Caenorhabditis elegans: one gene and its partners. The protein of the gene in region 1 interacts with the protein of each later gene in a pairwise test. Each region holds a gene or a part of one and is shown in the gene's direction. Other genes may lie near its edges.

Evidence for each region.
Region 2: the proteins of mfap-1 (region 1) and mig-10 interact in a two-hybrid assay, tested with the Caenorhabditis elegans proteins (one study listed by BioGRID).
Region 3: the proteins of mfap-1 (region 1) and krr-1 interact in a two-hybrid assay, tested with the Caenorhabditis elegans proteins (one study listed by BioGRID).
Region 4: the proteins of mfap-1 (region 1) and rps-6 interact in a two-hybrid assay, tested with the Caenorhabditis elegans proteins (one study listed by BioGRID).

What each region holds. Positions count from the first base shown.
Region 1 is NC_003279.8:8,638,007-8,641,935, reverse strand, and holds mfap-1 (Microfibrillar-associated protein 1), read left to right. Parts: upstream 1-1,699; 5' UTR 1,700-1,700; coding exon 1,701-1,858; intron 1,859-1,912; coding exon 1,913-2,702; intron 2,703-2,832; coding exon 2,833-3,105; intron 3,106-3,158; coding exon 3,159-3,338; 3' UTR 3,339-3,422; downstream 3,423-3,929. Other genes in the region: mog-7 (GCF C-terminal domain-containing protein), read right to left, coding at 1-75, 128-282, 327-465, 519-1,256, 1,308-1,409. UniProt on the Caenorhabditis elegans protein: Involved in pre-mRNA splicing.
Region 2 is NC_003281.10:8,277,284-8,282,128, forward strand, and holds the start of mig-10 (Abnormal cell migration protein 10), read left to right. Parts: upstream 1-1,824; coding exon 1,825-1,898; intron 1,899-2,361; exon of another isoform or gene 2,362-2,453; intron 2,454-3,155; exon of another isoform or gene 3,156-3,292; intron 3,293-4,825; coding exon 4,826-4,845. UniProt on the Caenorhabditis elegans protein: Required cell non-autonomously for proper development of the excretory canals and for the long-range anterior-posterior migrations of embryonic neurons CAN, ALM and HSN.
Region 3 is NC_003283.11:7,229,657-7,233,298, forward strand, and holds krr-1 (KRR1 small subunit processome component), read left to right. Parts: upstream 1-1,533; coding exon 1,534-1,689; intron 1,690-1,888; coding exon 1,889-2,355; intron 2,356-2,405; coding exon 2,406-2,717; intron 2,718-2,775; coding exon 2,776-2,953; 3' UTR 2,954-3,080; downstream 3,081-3,642. Other genes in the region: gei-6 (GEX Interacting protein), read right to left, coding at 1-273, 320-703, 750-864, 909-1,067, 1,115-1,189; C05C8.5 (Exonuclease domain-containing protein), read right to left, coding at 3,081-3,360, 3,408-3,642.
Region 4 is NC_003279.8:13,950,330-13,953,695, forward strand, and holds rps-6 (Small ribosomal subunit protein eS6), read left to right. Parts: upstream 1-1,831; 5' UTR 1,832-1,848; coding exon 1,849-1,986; intron 1,987-2,158; coding exon 2,159-2,519; intron 2,520-2,574; coding exon 2,575-2,816; 3' UTR 2,817-2,865; downstream 2,866-3,366. Other genes in the region: usp-3 (Ubiquitin carboxyl-terminal hydrolase), read right to left, coding at 775-1,089, 1,169-1,299.

The sequences.
Region 1 (3,929 bases):
AAGACTACGGGAATACACTCGTAATTCTTGATACATTGTGTATTTGGTACTTTGGTTAGGAAGCTCCATTTCAATCTGAAATTATTAAAAAATGATATATATATATAATTATTGAAATACTTGTTACCTTTGCAATCATTGATTTGTTTTCTTCAATATTTTGCTCCAATTTTCGTTTTTCTTCTTTTCTGAAATTCAATGCTTCATCTCGTTCTTGAATCCGCAATTTTAATTTAGCAAGAATATCTTCAATTTTTACAACTCCTCCGGTATTTGATGGTCCTGAAATTAATTAAAATTATTTGTCTTCAAACAAAATAATATACCAGTAAATTCCGGTTTTCCAATTACTTGAACATCCATATCAAGATCAATATCCATATCCATTGCTGTGTCATCTTCAACAGGAACTGTATGCCCAAATAATTTAGAAGTATTTCGTTTTTCTGTTCGCAGTTGGCCTATCTATAATTTTTAAATTTTCAGATTCACGATCTCTATTACCACAAAAAGCTCACCTCTCTCCGACTAACAGCTTTCCGAATTTGTTGTTTTTCCCATTCCTCATTTTCACTATCATCATCACCTTTTATTCGTTCAGCTTCATCAATATCTCCATTTTCTCGTTCTAAAAATCCTTCTTGTTCTTCTCTACGACGATCTTCTTCTGTTCGAAGTAGCTCACGAGCCGAATAGAATTTATTTGTACACTCTTCATCCGAATCATCATTCTCATCTTCTCGAATCAATCGATTTCGTTCACTTTTAGATTTAAGTTTTTGTGTGTCATCCAAAGGAATATATCCGTCTTGATTTCCCTCTCTTCTGGCTCGTTCTCGGCGTTTTTTTGCTTCGAAAACGGCACGAGAGTCGGGAATACCTTCAAAAGCAGAATTGAATTTATTGGAAACTGATGAAATTGCTTCTGCATCAATATCCAAATTTTCTTCGTATTCGTAGCTCTCCGAATTCGAAATGTGCTTAGCAGATTTGTCACGATATTTGTCAAGGTATTTATGCCGCTCATTTTTCGTCTTTTTGTCTTCTTTTGAGAGTTTCTCCTTTTTCACAATTTTATCAAGCGCTTCCTTACGAATTTTCTCTTCCTTATATAATTTTTCAGCTTCCTCCTCTAGTTTGTGTTGACGTTTCAATTCTTCAACTTTTTTCTTGTCTTTCTTAAGTTTGAACGTCGAATCAGCTCCTTCATCAGCATCGAAACTCATGGCTGGACGAGGCACAGCAGGTTGTTTGACCTTTAAATAAAAATTAAATTAAAAAGAATGTTGAAATTCATTAAAACTCACTTCGATAGCCGAGACTACTTGTTGGTTTTCAGCATCAGGTTCATCCCATCCGTCAGATTTCCGTTGGCGAATAGCACCTTTTGCCTTTGGTTTACGGAACATTCTGAAAAACGTTTTGAGTAAAAAAAAAAGAAAAAAATGAGCGTTTAGCAAGAAAATTTGGCCAAAATTGATATTTGAAAATATTTTCGTAAACGAGACTGTCGTAAGATGTGCTGTTGGGTCTGCATACACCACGTGAGGTACTCTTTATGCATTATAACTTACGAGCAATTTAATGCTTATTATTTTTTTCGAAAAATTCAATTAAAAATTTTACATATTTACTCTTTATTGTTTCTGACTATTTTTTGCCGAAATTAAAAAGGGTTAATTTTAAAAATAACTTTCAGAATGGGAGATTATGTACCTGGATTTGAACAACGCGAAAGCGATAATCGAAGTTTCGGACATTCGCGTCTTCCGACTCTTGGAGCCATTCCAATCAAAAATGAGAAAGGACAAACTGTTATGCAGAAAGTGAAAGTTTCAAGATATGTGGCTGGAAAGGCGTAAGTTTTTTTTCGTTTAATGGTTGAATTAGTCTTTAAAACATTGATTTTCAGACCAGAATATGCTCGTAACTACGACAGTGACAGCAGTGAATCAGACCGAGAGACAGATCGAGATGATGATCGAAGAAGACGTAGACGTCGTGAAAGTAGTGATGAAGAAGATAGAAGACGCCACAGAAGACACGAAGATTATGGTAGACGACGACAGGTGGAGAAGCCAGAAGTTCTTGGAAAAGTAGAGGACGAATCATCTGAAAATGAACAGGAATCTGAAGAAGACGAAGAGAAACAAGAAGAGAGAAGAGAAAGAGCCAGAATGAGAAGATTGGAATTACATGAAAATAACAGAGAAAAAGATGAAGAACAAGAAGACAGTGCTGAATCAGATGAAGAAGATTTTGAAAGAAGACGTCAAATGCTCAGAGATAGAGCTATTAAAAGAGAGGAAGAAATAAAACGAGAAATTAAAGAAGAACTTGAAGAAGATGATGTTGAAGAGGAGGAAGAAGAAGAAAGTAGTGAAGAGGAAGATTCAGATGAAGATGACGATCCAGTTCCAAGATTGAAGCCTATTTTCACAAGAAAGAAGGATCGTATCACTTTGCAAGAAGCCGAGAAGGAGAAAGAAAAAGAAATTCTGAAAAAGATCGAAGACGAAAAAAGAGCTGAAGAACGGAAGAGAGAAAGTGCAAAATTAGTTGAAAAGGTTCTTCAAGAGGAAGAAGCTGCTGAGAAAAGAAAAACAGAAGATCGTGTTGATTTGTCATCTGTTCTAACCGACGATGAAACTGAAAATATGGCATATGAGGCGTGGAAGCTCAGAGAAATGAAACGATTGAAGGTAAATTTTTGCTGCAAAATTTTGAATGTAGATCTTCGAAGTTTTTTTTTTGAGTTTTTTAATAAATTGACATAGAAATTTCTCAAAAAAATTCTCACTATAATATCCGATATCCAATTTTTTTTTGCAGAGAAACCGTGACGAACGTGAAGAAGCCGCACGCGAGAAGGCAGAACTTGACAAGATTCACGCAATGTCCGAGGAAGAACGACTCAAATATCTTCGTTTAAATCCAAAGGTTATCACTAACAAACAGGACAAAGGAAAATACAAGTTCCTTCAAAAATATTTCCATCGTGGAGCTTTCTTCTTGGATGAAGAAGATGAAGTACTCAAGAGAAACTTTGCCGAAGCTACCAACGATGATCAATTTGATAAAACTATTCTGCCGAAAGTTATGCAGGTAAATACTCGTAACTTATTATAGTGATAATTGAACTAAATTATTTATTTCAGGTCAAAAACTTTGGAAAAGCATCTCGAACCAAGTATACGCACTTGACAGAAGAAGATACAACAGATCATCAAGGTGTTTGGGCATCAACGAATCAGTTGAATTCTCAATTCTCCACGAAAAGAGCCGGAGGATCCAGACCAGTTTTTGAGAGACCTGCAACAAAAAAGCGAAAGAACTGAAAAAGCTTGCACATTCCTGAAAATCCCAATTTTTTGTACTTCGATTTCTATTTATTTGTTTTCTAAGAATAAAAAATGTTTCAGAGTAATTGTGCGATTAAAATACACCAGTACAATACGTGTTGCAGTAGCAATTATTCAACGCCAAAGTTCAAAGTTCTCGTCATACCAGCTAATGCAAAGGACAAACACAACTGTGTGTTCGAAACAAAAAAAACCAACAGACGGTTCGTTTCTCCCCTCATTTGGTTTGTGAACCTCTCCTATTCGGACTTTCAAATGTTTTATTGAGAATTCCCATATCGACTCTCGTTTTCATATTTTTCAAATGCATTCAACCTAAACGAGCCGCTCACCATTCGTCCTTGTTTTTTTCTATTCCTTTTCAAGGTTTTCGTCATCATGTTGTGAGGAGTGTGTTGTCGATCGCCACCTTTTCCGATCGGTCGACTCTTGAAAAGTGGTTTTGCGTTTTTAATTAGAAAAGGGTCATTGGCGTGTTTGTATGCATGTTTGCAAAGTGTCCTATTACCGGTACAGAGAGTGTAGATAGTTAGAGAGTGACAGACATCCGGGACCCAATGGGGCGGG
Region 2 (4,845 bases), on another chromosome or scaffold:
CTCTAAATCAGTCTTATTGGTCGAATTTTCAAAACTTGCTTTTGTCCTTTGTCTTAAACGATCATGACTAAATAGTTGAAAAGCAGAACATTTTTATTCAACTCTATCTGTAGAGTAGTCTTACTATGTGTTCATTCCAATTGTGAAAAACCATCAACTCATCTACATAATGGAGGGTGAGTTGAATAAACATTTTTGAAGTACAAATAGCTTTTCGGTTGGAAGTTTTACAAAAATTCTTGCATAAAATACTCATTTATCTTGGCTAAACTTGGCGACGCTAACTGTAATTATTTTCGGGAAATTTGAACTATAGTTTTCTATGGTTTCAGCAGAAACTTCACTTTTTTTTCAAAAAAAAAAAAACTTGAAATTTCCAACTTCAGAATGTGCTCTATACCTTACTTACCTATAACTACCTTACTGCTACCAAGTTTTTCTGAAAACTTTTTTAAAAGTTCTAGTTTTGATTGTCTTGTAATCTTCTTCATTATAGTTTCCTTACCGTATCGTGCCGAGCGACTCAATTATGAATAATCCTCTTATTTTTTATGTCAACTCTTCCAGATTACGCGCGTTCCTTCCATTATTTGCGCACTCTGAACTCTCCTTCTGTTCCATTTTCTCTTCGTTTTTCTATTCAACCAAAATTTGCATATTCTATACTCAATACCATATTGATGGTCCGGTTGTCCCACGAGACTTTATCATAAAAAGGTCATTATATGCTTCTTCTGCTTCTTTTCTCGCGCATTAGTACGTTTTTGCCGCTTTCTTTCCGCGCGGAAGAGATATATGTGTCCCTCTTTGCTGTCCCCGCCTTCTTTTTTATTCTTTCTTGTTGTTGTGCGGGGGAGGGGGGTATCCCTTGACTTGTATCATCGCTTTTGCACTTTGTTAGCAACGATCCCGACAGAGGGAAGGTCAATCACTTTTTTATGCAGATGTTGTTGTTTTTTCGAGGAGACGGAAGAAAATTTGGTGTAGATTATTTAGTGGTCAATTGGGTTTTCCTTCTGTCTTAAAAACTTTAGACCACACACTCAAATTTGGCCTTGCATCACTTTGCTCTACTTTAACAACTCATAAATATCTCGGTCTTCTTATATTTTATTGAGACATTTTAAACTGTAAAAGTAGGTGTCAAATAATTTGCTATATTTGTATAGTTGAACAGTTTTTCGTTGAGCTTAAACCACTGAAATATAAGCCGTCAATGTAGAGTAGTGTGGTTCAAACATAGGAAAATACGGTATTTAGAGAGCGGAAATCTCAATTTTGTTTTTGTTATTGTTTTATTTGGATTAGCTTGACAAGTCGTGTTTTGAATTTTTTCTAGATTGCAAGGGTTCATAATTTTTTAACTTGAGAATAAAAAGATTGTTCTACATACAATACATATTTTTAAGACTAGAAAAAGTGGATTTATTGTGACAATAAACTAGAGAAATCTATGAAAAAAATTCAATAAAAGTCTGTTTCCTGCTGATTGAAAACTAGATATTCAGAATTTAGTATACAAATATTATTTGCGCAAGTTTGGGCAAATACTTTGGATATTTCTAAAAGTCGAAAAACGAGCAATTTTTGATGCTAGATTTTTTGATTTGACGAATTTTTTCAGTTTTTTTTCTTTAAAAAAGGTTTTTGACCCCTTAAAGTTTTCCTTTCCCTTCCAATTTTTTCCTTCTTTCTTATACGACTTCTCAAGTTTCAACTCTAAAACAAAGCTACATGTACATTTCCGGTAAACTTTGTGTCTCAGAAGATCCATTTTCTTTTTGTTACATTTATTCAAGATTGAATTCCAAAATTTCAGCCAATATGGACAGTTGCGAAGAGGAATGCGATCTGGAAGTTGACAGTGACGAAGAAGATCAACTTTTTGGTGAAAAGTGGTGAGTTCTTATTGTGGTAACCAAAGAAATGTCAGTGGTCCGTAAACACTTGACTCCCAAATGGTTTCTCGTAATTACCTTATGCACACTTTTCAAGTGTTTGCCGTTTGATCTTAGCCAATTTGAAACGTTTAGATGTTAAATGGAAAATGGGTAAAGTTTTTTATTTTATAGAAAAAAGGTTTGGAAAAAAATCGAGTCACTGAATAGTTTGAAGAACGGAAAAATAAAACTTTCCAAAAATCATAAAACATTTAGTGTTTCGAAAATTATAGTGTTTTTTTTGTTGGTATGTTTTGACAAAAGCTAAACCATCTTTATTGTAGTTTTGTAAAATGTTCACAAAGATGCGTTTTTTTTTCAAATTTGGCAGGCTATCTTTACATTCACATTTGGATAATTCAAATTTTTCTTATCGCTAACAAATTTTCCTATTTTTCCAATTATTCGTTTTTATAAAGCTTTGGTAGTATGTTGTGTCTATCTTTAGTGGTCATCAGTTGACCGGACCTTCACCCTCATCGAGCAAAAGATTGCTATCTCAACTTGCGTTTTTGTCTGTGACTCACAATTTCCTATAATCTCTAAGCTGGCATGTTCGTACGTCCTTTACGCCTATCTCGTGCATTCAGATAACTTGATTATATGTTCTATTTGTTGGTTTATTGGCGATGCTTCTGAATTGATTACTTTTTCTTGTCGTGTTTCGTAACACTAGTATTAGCAGTAGCTTCAGCCTAATTTCCAGTTAGGCCTTTTTTCCAATGACCTCATTTCCCGTATTCTATACACTTGATTAGTTTTCTTTGGTTACGGTCATTTATCATTCGCAGATGATTTAGTGACAATCCGGCAAAAGAAATAGAACGGAAGGCCATCCAGATGTGATTTTCTATGATCTTTTCTTGTTGGCTGTACGGTTTTCCTTGAAACCTACTGGATTTTCGTTCAGAATTTTTTGTTGGTTTTCCAAAAATATGACTTATAGCTTAGATCGGAATGTAACAAAACTTTTGAATGTGTGTTGAAGTGTTCAGAACTTTTTATTTCATGTAATTTCTCCAAAGAAACCGCAGCCTTTTTAAAAAATTATCTAAATTATTTGGTAGGATACTAGATTACTCAGCCTTACTCAGCCCTAGGAAAAATAATGTCTCCACAACGCAACTCTACTTCCCAAACGACAGACAAAACTCTTTTTTGTGCAATTTTTTCAAGATGTTCTAAAGTTATGAAGCAAAGTTAAGTTACGAATCAATATTATTCAGAAATGTTCCATTTGTGCTCTTTTTCATTTGTTGCAAAGCTCTGAACATACCAGAGCATTGATGAATAAATCATTCGCACTCTTCCTCGTCTCTTTCTGTTCATTTCAATCTGTGCGCGAGCATGTTTCATGGAACATGTGTATGAATTCAAAAGAGACACAGAGAAAAGGAACGACATTCTGAAACAATGGGTTGTCCGTTCTCTTGTCCATTCTTGTTTCTGTGTTGCACTCTATTTCTCTTTTCTTTCACTTTTCTGACTTTTATTGCTGCTCTTGGCCATGAAAGTGAAATTCTCTGAATTTTTAAAGATAGTTGCAAGTGTGGTCTAATTAAGTTTGAAAGTCGGGGAGGTCTAGGAAAAGGTAACCAAGATACTAAGTAAGTTGGAAGAAAAACGGAGAAAATTGGTGAATTTTTTTCAAGAATGACAAGAAAGAAAGAGCTACATAACTTCAAGTCCGCGAAACGATTATTTTTCAATAACCATTAGTAAAATTTCGCAATGGCGTCTAAAAGTTATGAAAGTTTGCCAAAATTGATATCATTTCTCCTGAATCTCTAAATAGATTTTTTAAAAATAATTTTGTACTGTGAAAAATAGAAAAAATAGAAAAAACAACAAAAATATACAAGTCATAGATTAAACATTAACCAGAAAATCATCTATCAAAAAGTTGAAAAAACTTTATATAGCTCACATGGATTTTCAATAACGTTTTCAAGCCCTCTCTACAAAAAACTATCAAAAAATTTCTAATTAACACCATCCAAACCCCAATTTGTTTATGAACTAACTAAAATCCTCGAAAATCCGGCAAATCCTCGTGGCTAGCCAGGTGTTCATCGGTCCGTGTTGTTGCCATGTGTGTTCCATTTCTGATGTTCATTCATCGTTTTTACCGGAGCGTGTCCTTTCCGTCAGTTTCGAATTGCTTCAAACCTTTCAGTTTTGAATCACCAGAAGAGAACAGCCTTGTCATGGTAGAGTATGTTCACTTTCTTGACCCCTTTGACTCTCTCTTTGTCCATCAAAATGCTGTCGTTCACTCTTTGTTTGGGAGCAATTCATCAAAAATGTTGGCAGATTGTTCCCTGTTCCTCTTTCTTTTCTTATGAAGTGCCATCTACTTTTCAATTCTAGAAACTTGAAATATTCTTTCAATTTTAAATGTGAATTCAAAATAGAGAAGTTGATTCAGAAAAGCCCTTTTTTCAATTTTTAAAAAACTTACATTCAATGTTTTGGTAATTTACGAAATGTTCCAAAAATATGGGCATTCTAAGTAATTTCGAGCATTGGTTCGTCCTCAGAATGTTGAAATAGAGCAATATATGCAAATAAAAAAAAAGGCAATTAAAGTATAAAAACTCATAGAAACAAAAATCTGCCACACTTGAAATTATGATAGGTGCAAACTAAGTTTTCACAACACAATTTGAATTAAAAATTCAGACAAGTTTTTTGAAAAGATTTACTATGATATTTGAGTTTTTCCCATTTGGAGAGGTTTCTAACAAAATTACTTTCTAAGAGAAACACAACAAATTTCTAAATTCCATTGATGTGTTCCATTTTTCAAATTGATCCACTTAAAGAATGCATTCTCGTTTATGTAAACATGAAAGCATTCCCAATAAATTCCATTCATTTTACAGCATTTCCCTGCTCTCAAGTC
Region 3 (3,642 bases), on another chromosome or scaffold:
GCTCTCCAAGGGCATCTCTGACAGTTGTATTGAAGCATTCCTTGAGATATGTTGATTTCAATAAGAGATCCGTATCGGTTTGGCAGCAAGTTTCCGCAGTTTTGGACACATGTGACGTTATAGGAGAACTTTTGAAAAATTCAGAAGTATGTGTTGGCTTTGTTGATACACTCGAAATCGTCGCAGCTCTTGGTGAGATTTTTATGGGTCGACCTCTCTTTTTGTCGATTGGTGTGACAGTTGGCGTATTTCTTAATTTAGTTTCTCTCGGACCTGAAAATAAAATATTTGGCAACAATATTCGAAAACTCGTACTTACGAGCATTTTCTTGGTCCTTTTTACTGATTTTCTCGGAACTCGTGGACTGAACTTGAGAGACTTTGGCTTTGCTCTTCTTCCGAGTTCCCCAATTGTTTTTCTTTGATTTTCCACCAAACGCATTTTTGGGTTTCTTTTTTGGGATGGTGGTTTTTTGTTCAGGTGTTTCCTCATCACCATCATCCTCATCGATGCCTTCATCATCTTCTTTAGCAATTTCTTCGTCCTTCTCATCCGAATTCCCATTAGTCGACGTGTCAGAATTGGAAACTCCCGAACCTTTTTCAGGTACTTGACATACACTATTTGAGCGTGAAGCGGATCTGGCTCTTTTCTGAGAACGAAGGAATTCAAGTCTTTCACTATTGGACAATATTCTTCCATCTGAAATTGTAATTTTAAATTTTCTATAAAAGTATCGTGTCTCTACCTTCATTCACAAACGAAAATACTCCTCTGACTTTCTTGGAGGACATTCCAAAAAAAGTTTTGCAATTACTGCAATAGCTTTTGAAGATATCCTCTGTTTTGCCGCCACTCGCTGGCTGAAATTTTTCCAATTTGTTTTAGCTTATCCTGTACAACCAACCTGGCGCTGCTTGAAAAACGATAGCGTAGCCAATACTGAACACGTATCGCATTTTACAGGATCAGTGGGCTTTAGTACTGACAACGAAGAAGTAGTCGAATCATTCGAGCTTTCATCAATTGGCGAATCATTATTCTCCGATGATGTTCCCTCGATTGGCTGAACAAGATTATAATGAAATTGAACGCAACAAAATAAAAAATTACGTCAATCTGATCAGTCGGATGCGCAGAAGGCAAGTATACGCTATGGTCCTCTGCTTCAGTTGTTGCGCCGTTCATTACCTGCCACTTATTTGTTTAAAAAAACAGGTAAAATAGACGCAAATTGAAACAAGATTTAACTTTCAGAATTATATAAAACACAAAAACAGTTAAAACATAAGAAAAGCCAGCAGAAGCAGTGTAAATTCCGCACAGAAAAATTAATCGACAAACCAGTGGGCGGAGCGTGAAGCAGGAGTCGCAACCCCCGCGCACTTTTTATGCAATGCTGCCGCACGAATTCCTCTCTCAGTTTTTGTTCCCTTTTTCTTCATTTTTAATCAATTTCTTCTGATTTTTTTTGTATATAACTTTATTTTATTTTGTATAAAACATTAAATATTAATTAAAAATAATTTAAGATGAGCAACGTTGACAAAAAAGCTAAACCTCGTGGAGAATACGAGCCCGAATGGGCTGGTGAACCGGAGGAAGAGAAGAAGACGCGGAAAGAGACTGCAAAAATGTTCGGACCACAGAAAGATGCAGAGTGGTGGGATATTAACACTTTCAGCAAGGTATGTTTTTGATATTGTATTCTAAATAAATATATTTCGATTTTTGAAGTTACCTGCTAAATTTACTTAAAACTAATTTTAAAATCTCCAAAACACTAAATATTTTCTGAAAAATTAAATGTTAAGCAATGAAAAAAGTTGGTTCCATGTAATTTTTCTCTTGTAGTATGAACCTGAAGAAAATGAATACATTTTTCAGGAAGACAATCCGAATGGTCTACTCCAAGAGTCATCATTTTCTTCATTATTCCCCAAATATCGCGAAAAGTATATTAAAGAAAGTTGGCCACTCATCGAAAAAGCTCTAGGAGAGCATTTCCTGAAAGCAGATTTGGATCTCCTCGAGGGAACAATGTGTGTCCGAACTACTCGTAAAACTTGGGATCCTTATATAATCATGAAGGCTCGCGAGGTCATCAAGCTTCTATCCCGTAGTGTGCCTTATGAACAAGCGATTCGTGTTCTCGAAGATGAAATCTATTGCGAGATTATCAAAATCTCTTCAATGGTTCGCAATAAAGAACGATTTGTGAAGCGTAGAGCTCGGCTAATTGGAAACGATGGTGCTACCTTGAAAGCTCTCGAATTGCTGACACAGTGCTATGTTTGTGTTCAAGGAGGAACTGTTTGTGCTGTTGGACCGCTTGCTGGACTGAAACAAATCAAGTGAGTTGAAAATATATTCTGACTCTCTTTGAAATCATAAAAAATTTCAGTCAAATCGTCACTGATTGTATGAAAAATATTCACCCAATCTACAATATTAAAACTATGATGATCAAAAGGGAATTATCTAAAAATGATGAATTGAAAGATGCAAACTGGGATGCTTATCTTCCAAACTACCGAAAGAAGGTTCAATCTGCAACTACAACAAAGGAAGCAAAGAAGAAGAAGGCTTACAAGATGAAGCCCAAGAAGGAGTTCACTCCGTTCCCACCGGCTCCAGTTATGAGCAAGATTGACAAGCAGATTGAAAGCGGAGAATATTTTATTCGCGAGAACGAAAGAAAGATGAACAAAAAGAGGTAAGTATTCTTAATTCAAAAATCGTAACGGAATTTAATAAATTTATGAAATTTTCAGAGCGAAATTGGAAGCATCGGCGGTGAAGACTGTGGAAAAACAGAAGCAAAAGTTGAAAGTGTATCAAGCAAAAGAGGAAGCTCCGCGAGAAAAACAGAACAAGAAGCGACCGAACGACGCGCCGATCGATTTGGAAAAGCTGAAAAAGAAGGCAAAGCTCAGTAAAGCCGCCAAGTAAATTTTATGATTTCACTGTTTCGTTTCTTTGTTATCAATGTTGTTGTTTTGTTGGAAATTGAAGTTTAAATTAAACCAAATTTTATTTGTTATTCATTTTATGAGAAACTTAATATTAAAAAAAAAGATTATTTGACTCTTACATAGAGCACGTTTTTAGTGGAATTAGACAAGATCATCATAATCAGTGAGTTTTTAGCCGTGGCGGCAACCAGTTTTTCAAGAATCCGATTCAGTGCCTCCGCGTTGTCAGGAACTTCTCCTTGCTCTGAATCAGTTTCTTCCAATGGTTCTATTTTTTCTTTGTCAATCTCCACGAGGATTACACTGTCATTGAGCATTTCAGAAGCTACACTGTTGACGAATCCATTATAGGAGGGAAAAGAGGAATGAAGTTTTGAGCGGACCCTGAAATAAATTAGGTACTTAAACTTTATTATTTTTAAATATCTTACTTTTTTGATATGGGAGGACAGTCGAGAATAGCAGTATCGAAAGCACACATCACAGATTTCATTTTATCCTTTTTCAAATAATTCCCGATTGGAGATGCTTTCTTTTCATGATCCACATCAAGTGTATCCTGCCAATGAAAATCTCCTTGGGCACTTATCCCGATCTTCACACAATGCACACATTTCGAAGGAGTCGATACAAATCTGCATCTGCAATTGGCAACTGTGCAAGCAA
Region 4 (3,366 bases), 5.3 Mb from region 1:
CGGAAAAATCGGATTTTTCGTGGGCTAAATGAATTTTTTGATGTTTTTTGTGCTGAAAAATCGGAAGTTTTGGGCTTTTTCATTGTGAAAACTGATTTTCTAAAATAAATTTAAAGTGTTAACGTTGAAAAATTCGGAATTTTTGGGCTGTTTAGGTGCAAAAACGGATTTTGAAGTTTTTTGTGCTGAAAGATCGGATTTTTTTGGCTTTTTAGGAGGAAAAATGGATTTTTGATGTTTTTTCCCCTGAAAAATCACAATTTAGGGGCTTTTTAGTGGGAAAAATGAATTTTATCGCAGAAATTGATGAGTTTCTGCCGAAAAATCGGAATTTTTCGGATTCTTAGGGCGAAATACGATTTTTTGATGTTTTTTCACCTGAAAATCGGAATTTTAGTGATTCTCGTGAGGAAAATAGGGTTCTGTTCAAGTTTTTGCGGAAAAAATGATTTCCCAATGGAAAATTAAAGTTTCTTCGATGAAAATTAGGATTTTCATTTTTTTTTTTAAGAAAAATAAATTTTTATGAGAAAACGAACGTTTTTGACTGAAAAATCAAAATTTTCAGAAATTCCAGAGAGAAAAATGGAATTTCTGAGGAAAATTGGCGTTTTTTTCACTGAAAATCGCAATTTATCGGACTTTTCATGGGAAATACGATTTTTACGAGAACTGTAACGTTTTTCAGTGGAAAATTCGATTTCTAGCAGGGTTTATCGATAAAATATCGGTTTTTAACCAATTTTTAGTCCATTTTCCTCGAAAAATACGCACTGAAAAGGCTGTGCCGGTATAGTCGGCCCGTCGCCTCCCTCCATAACGTCTTCCCGGTCGAAAAGGAGCTTCAGCGATTTTAGAACTCCATATAAAGATGGCTCAAAGTCCAGTGACACTTCATCATCACAGGAATAGCAGTAAAGCTCGAAAGAAATGCAATCAATGACGACTGGGTGGCTGGTTTCTTCAAAATGATGCAAAGCGTGGCCCGAGTCGTTTCTTCCGCACAGAATTCGTCCGCAAGTGAGGCACATCAGCGATTTATTGCAATTATCGCATTCGTCGCAGAAGGTTTTAATTATTTCCTGGTTTCTGGAAGAAAAACGAGTTTTTAAAGCTATTTTTAGCTTTTTTTAGCCATTTTCTAGCCAAATTTCTCAAAAAAACTCACTTCACCACCTTCCCACGATTCGAATTTCCCTCCAAGAACAAATTATTGTCCTCCATGTCCTGTTTCTTGCGGAACATCCCCTTGGGCACACGCTCCACACAATCTTCCGCCTTTATATGGGTGCAAAGCATCTGAAAAAATTCGAAAATCAGTCAATTTGAGTGTGAGAGCAAAGTTTTGGCACTTAAAACGCGGATAAAAAATCGATAATCAAGAAAAACAGCAAATTTTCGGCGGAAATCGAAGAAAAACCGAAAATCGAGTCGGAAAATCGGAAAAGTTTGGAAAAAAATAAAATCCATCGGACGAGATAGTGTGGGAAAGGTGGGGTGCAGCAGACGACGAGGCGGATGGGGGATGGGTCTCGCCACGAAGGGCGTGCGCCTTTAAACTGGAATTGTCGTTGGCCTAAAAAGTTTTCGCTCCTTTTTTCATTTTTCCCTCGAATTTTTGGGTGAATTTCTCATTTTTAGGCGAACTTTTCGGTTTTTTTTTCGAATTTTCAAAATTTTAAATGTTTTCCTGATAGTTTTCCTCCACATTTCGCAGGATATTTGCTTGGAAAATCAAATTTATTAGTTTTAGGCCCATGTTTTCGTTTTTCGCTTCAGTTTCTCCTTTTCTCACCCCGTTAACTCATTTCCAATGTTTTTCTTCTTGCAGGTAATAATATTTGAGCGATGAGACTTAACTTCGCCTACCCAGCCACCGGGCTCCAAAAGTCGTTCGAGGTCGATGAGGAGAAGAAGCTTCGCCTCTTCTTCGAGAAGCGCATGTCCCAGGAGGTCGCCATCGATGCTCTCGGTGACGAGTGGAAGGTTAGCGAGTCACCCAAAAACACAGAAACGAAGTGATGTTTCTGTGTCAAATCCTCATTGTTTCACGTGCTTTTTCTTCGCTGAAATGGCTGTGACTAGACATACATTGAGAGTCCCAGTTTTTGTTTTTGAACCGATTCTCGGCTCTTTCAAACGAGTTGCTTTTTTCCAGGGATATGTCGTCAGAATCGGAGGAGGAAACGACAAGCAGGGATTCCCAATGAAGCAAGGAATTCTCACCAACGGACGTGTTCGTCTTCTCTTGAAGAAGGGACAATCCTGCTACCGTGAGCGCAAGAACGGAGAGCGCAAGAGAAAGTCCGTCCGTGGATGCATCGTCGACGCCAACATGTCCGCTCTTTCCCTCGTCATCGTGAAGAAGGGAGATGGAGAGATCGAAGGACTCACCGACTCCGTTCTCCCACGCAAGCTCGGACCAAAGAGAGCCTCCAAGATCCGCAAGCTCTTCAACTTGACCAAGCACGACGATGTCACCAAATACGTCATCACCCACGACAAGACCTTCCCAGATGGTGAGTTTCTTCAATATTCTCTTTAAATTTAGTTTTTAACTGTCTAAATTTCCAGGAGTCACCAAGACCATCGCACCAAAGATCCAGCGTCTCATCACCCCAGCTCGTATCGCCAGAAAGAAGTACCTTCTCCGCCAGAAGCGCAACCAGAAGATCAAGATGCGCGATGACGCCGCTGCCTACCACAAGCTCCTCGCCAAGTACTCCAAGGAAGAGCACGACGCCAAGATCGCCCGCAGACGCTCTTCGGCTTCCCATCACTCCGAGTCCGAGGTCAAGAAGACCAGCAAGAAGTAAATACTGCTGCTCGTTATTGTTTCCTAATGAAATTGTTGTTAAACTTAAATCTTTTTTTTTTGTTGTTCACTCCATTCGTCTCACCAATTATATTTGCACCCATTTGTCGTTGTTAATTTTTTTGAATGCTTACTCCGAGTCCTGGCACGCCACTCAGGGTACTTGGTCGATCCGTTCTTCGCCTGCGGGGCGGATAGCAGGCTTCGCAGCTTTCAAAGCTTTTCGGTTCTTTGCTTGGCTGATAGTTGTATGACTCAACCGAAGGCGTCTCTCGTGTGACCTTTTTATAAAGAGTCGTTCCATCTAAACGGGAGTCGTCCATTTTTGTGTTAATTCTGCTAAGATAAAGCGCGCTCCTGAAATTATCTTCCAAAGTGCTGTGATTCTTTTTCAAGGATACGGTAGAAGTCTTGCTATGAGATATCTTCCGCCACAAATATAGGAATTCTCATGTTTTAATTGTTTCCCAGCAAGACATTGGCCAGTTTTCAACTGAAAATTCATTTTTCGATTAATTCCGGGTGTTGAATTCAAAAATCTGATAGAACTA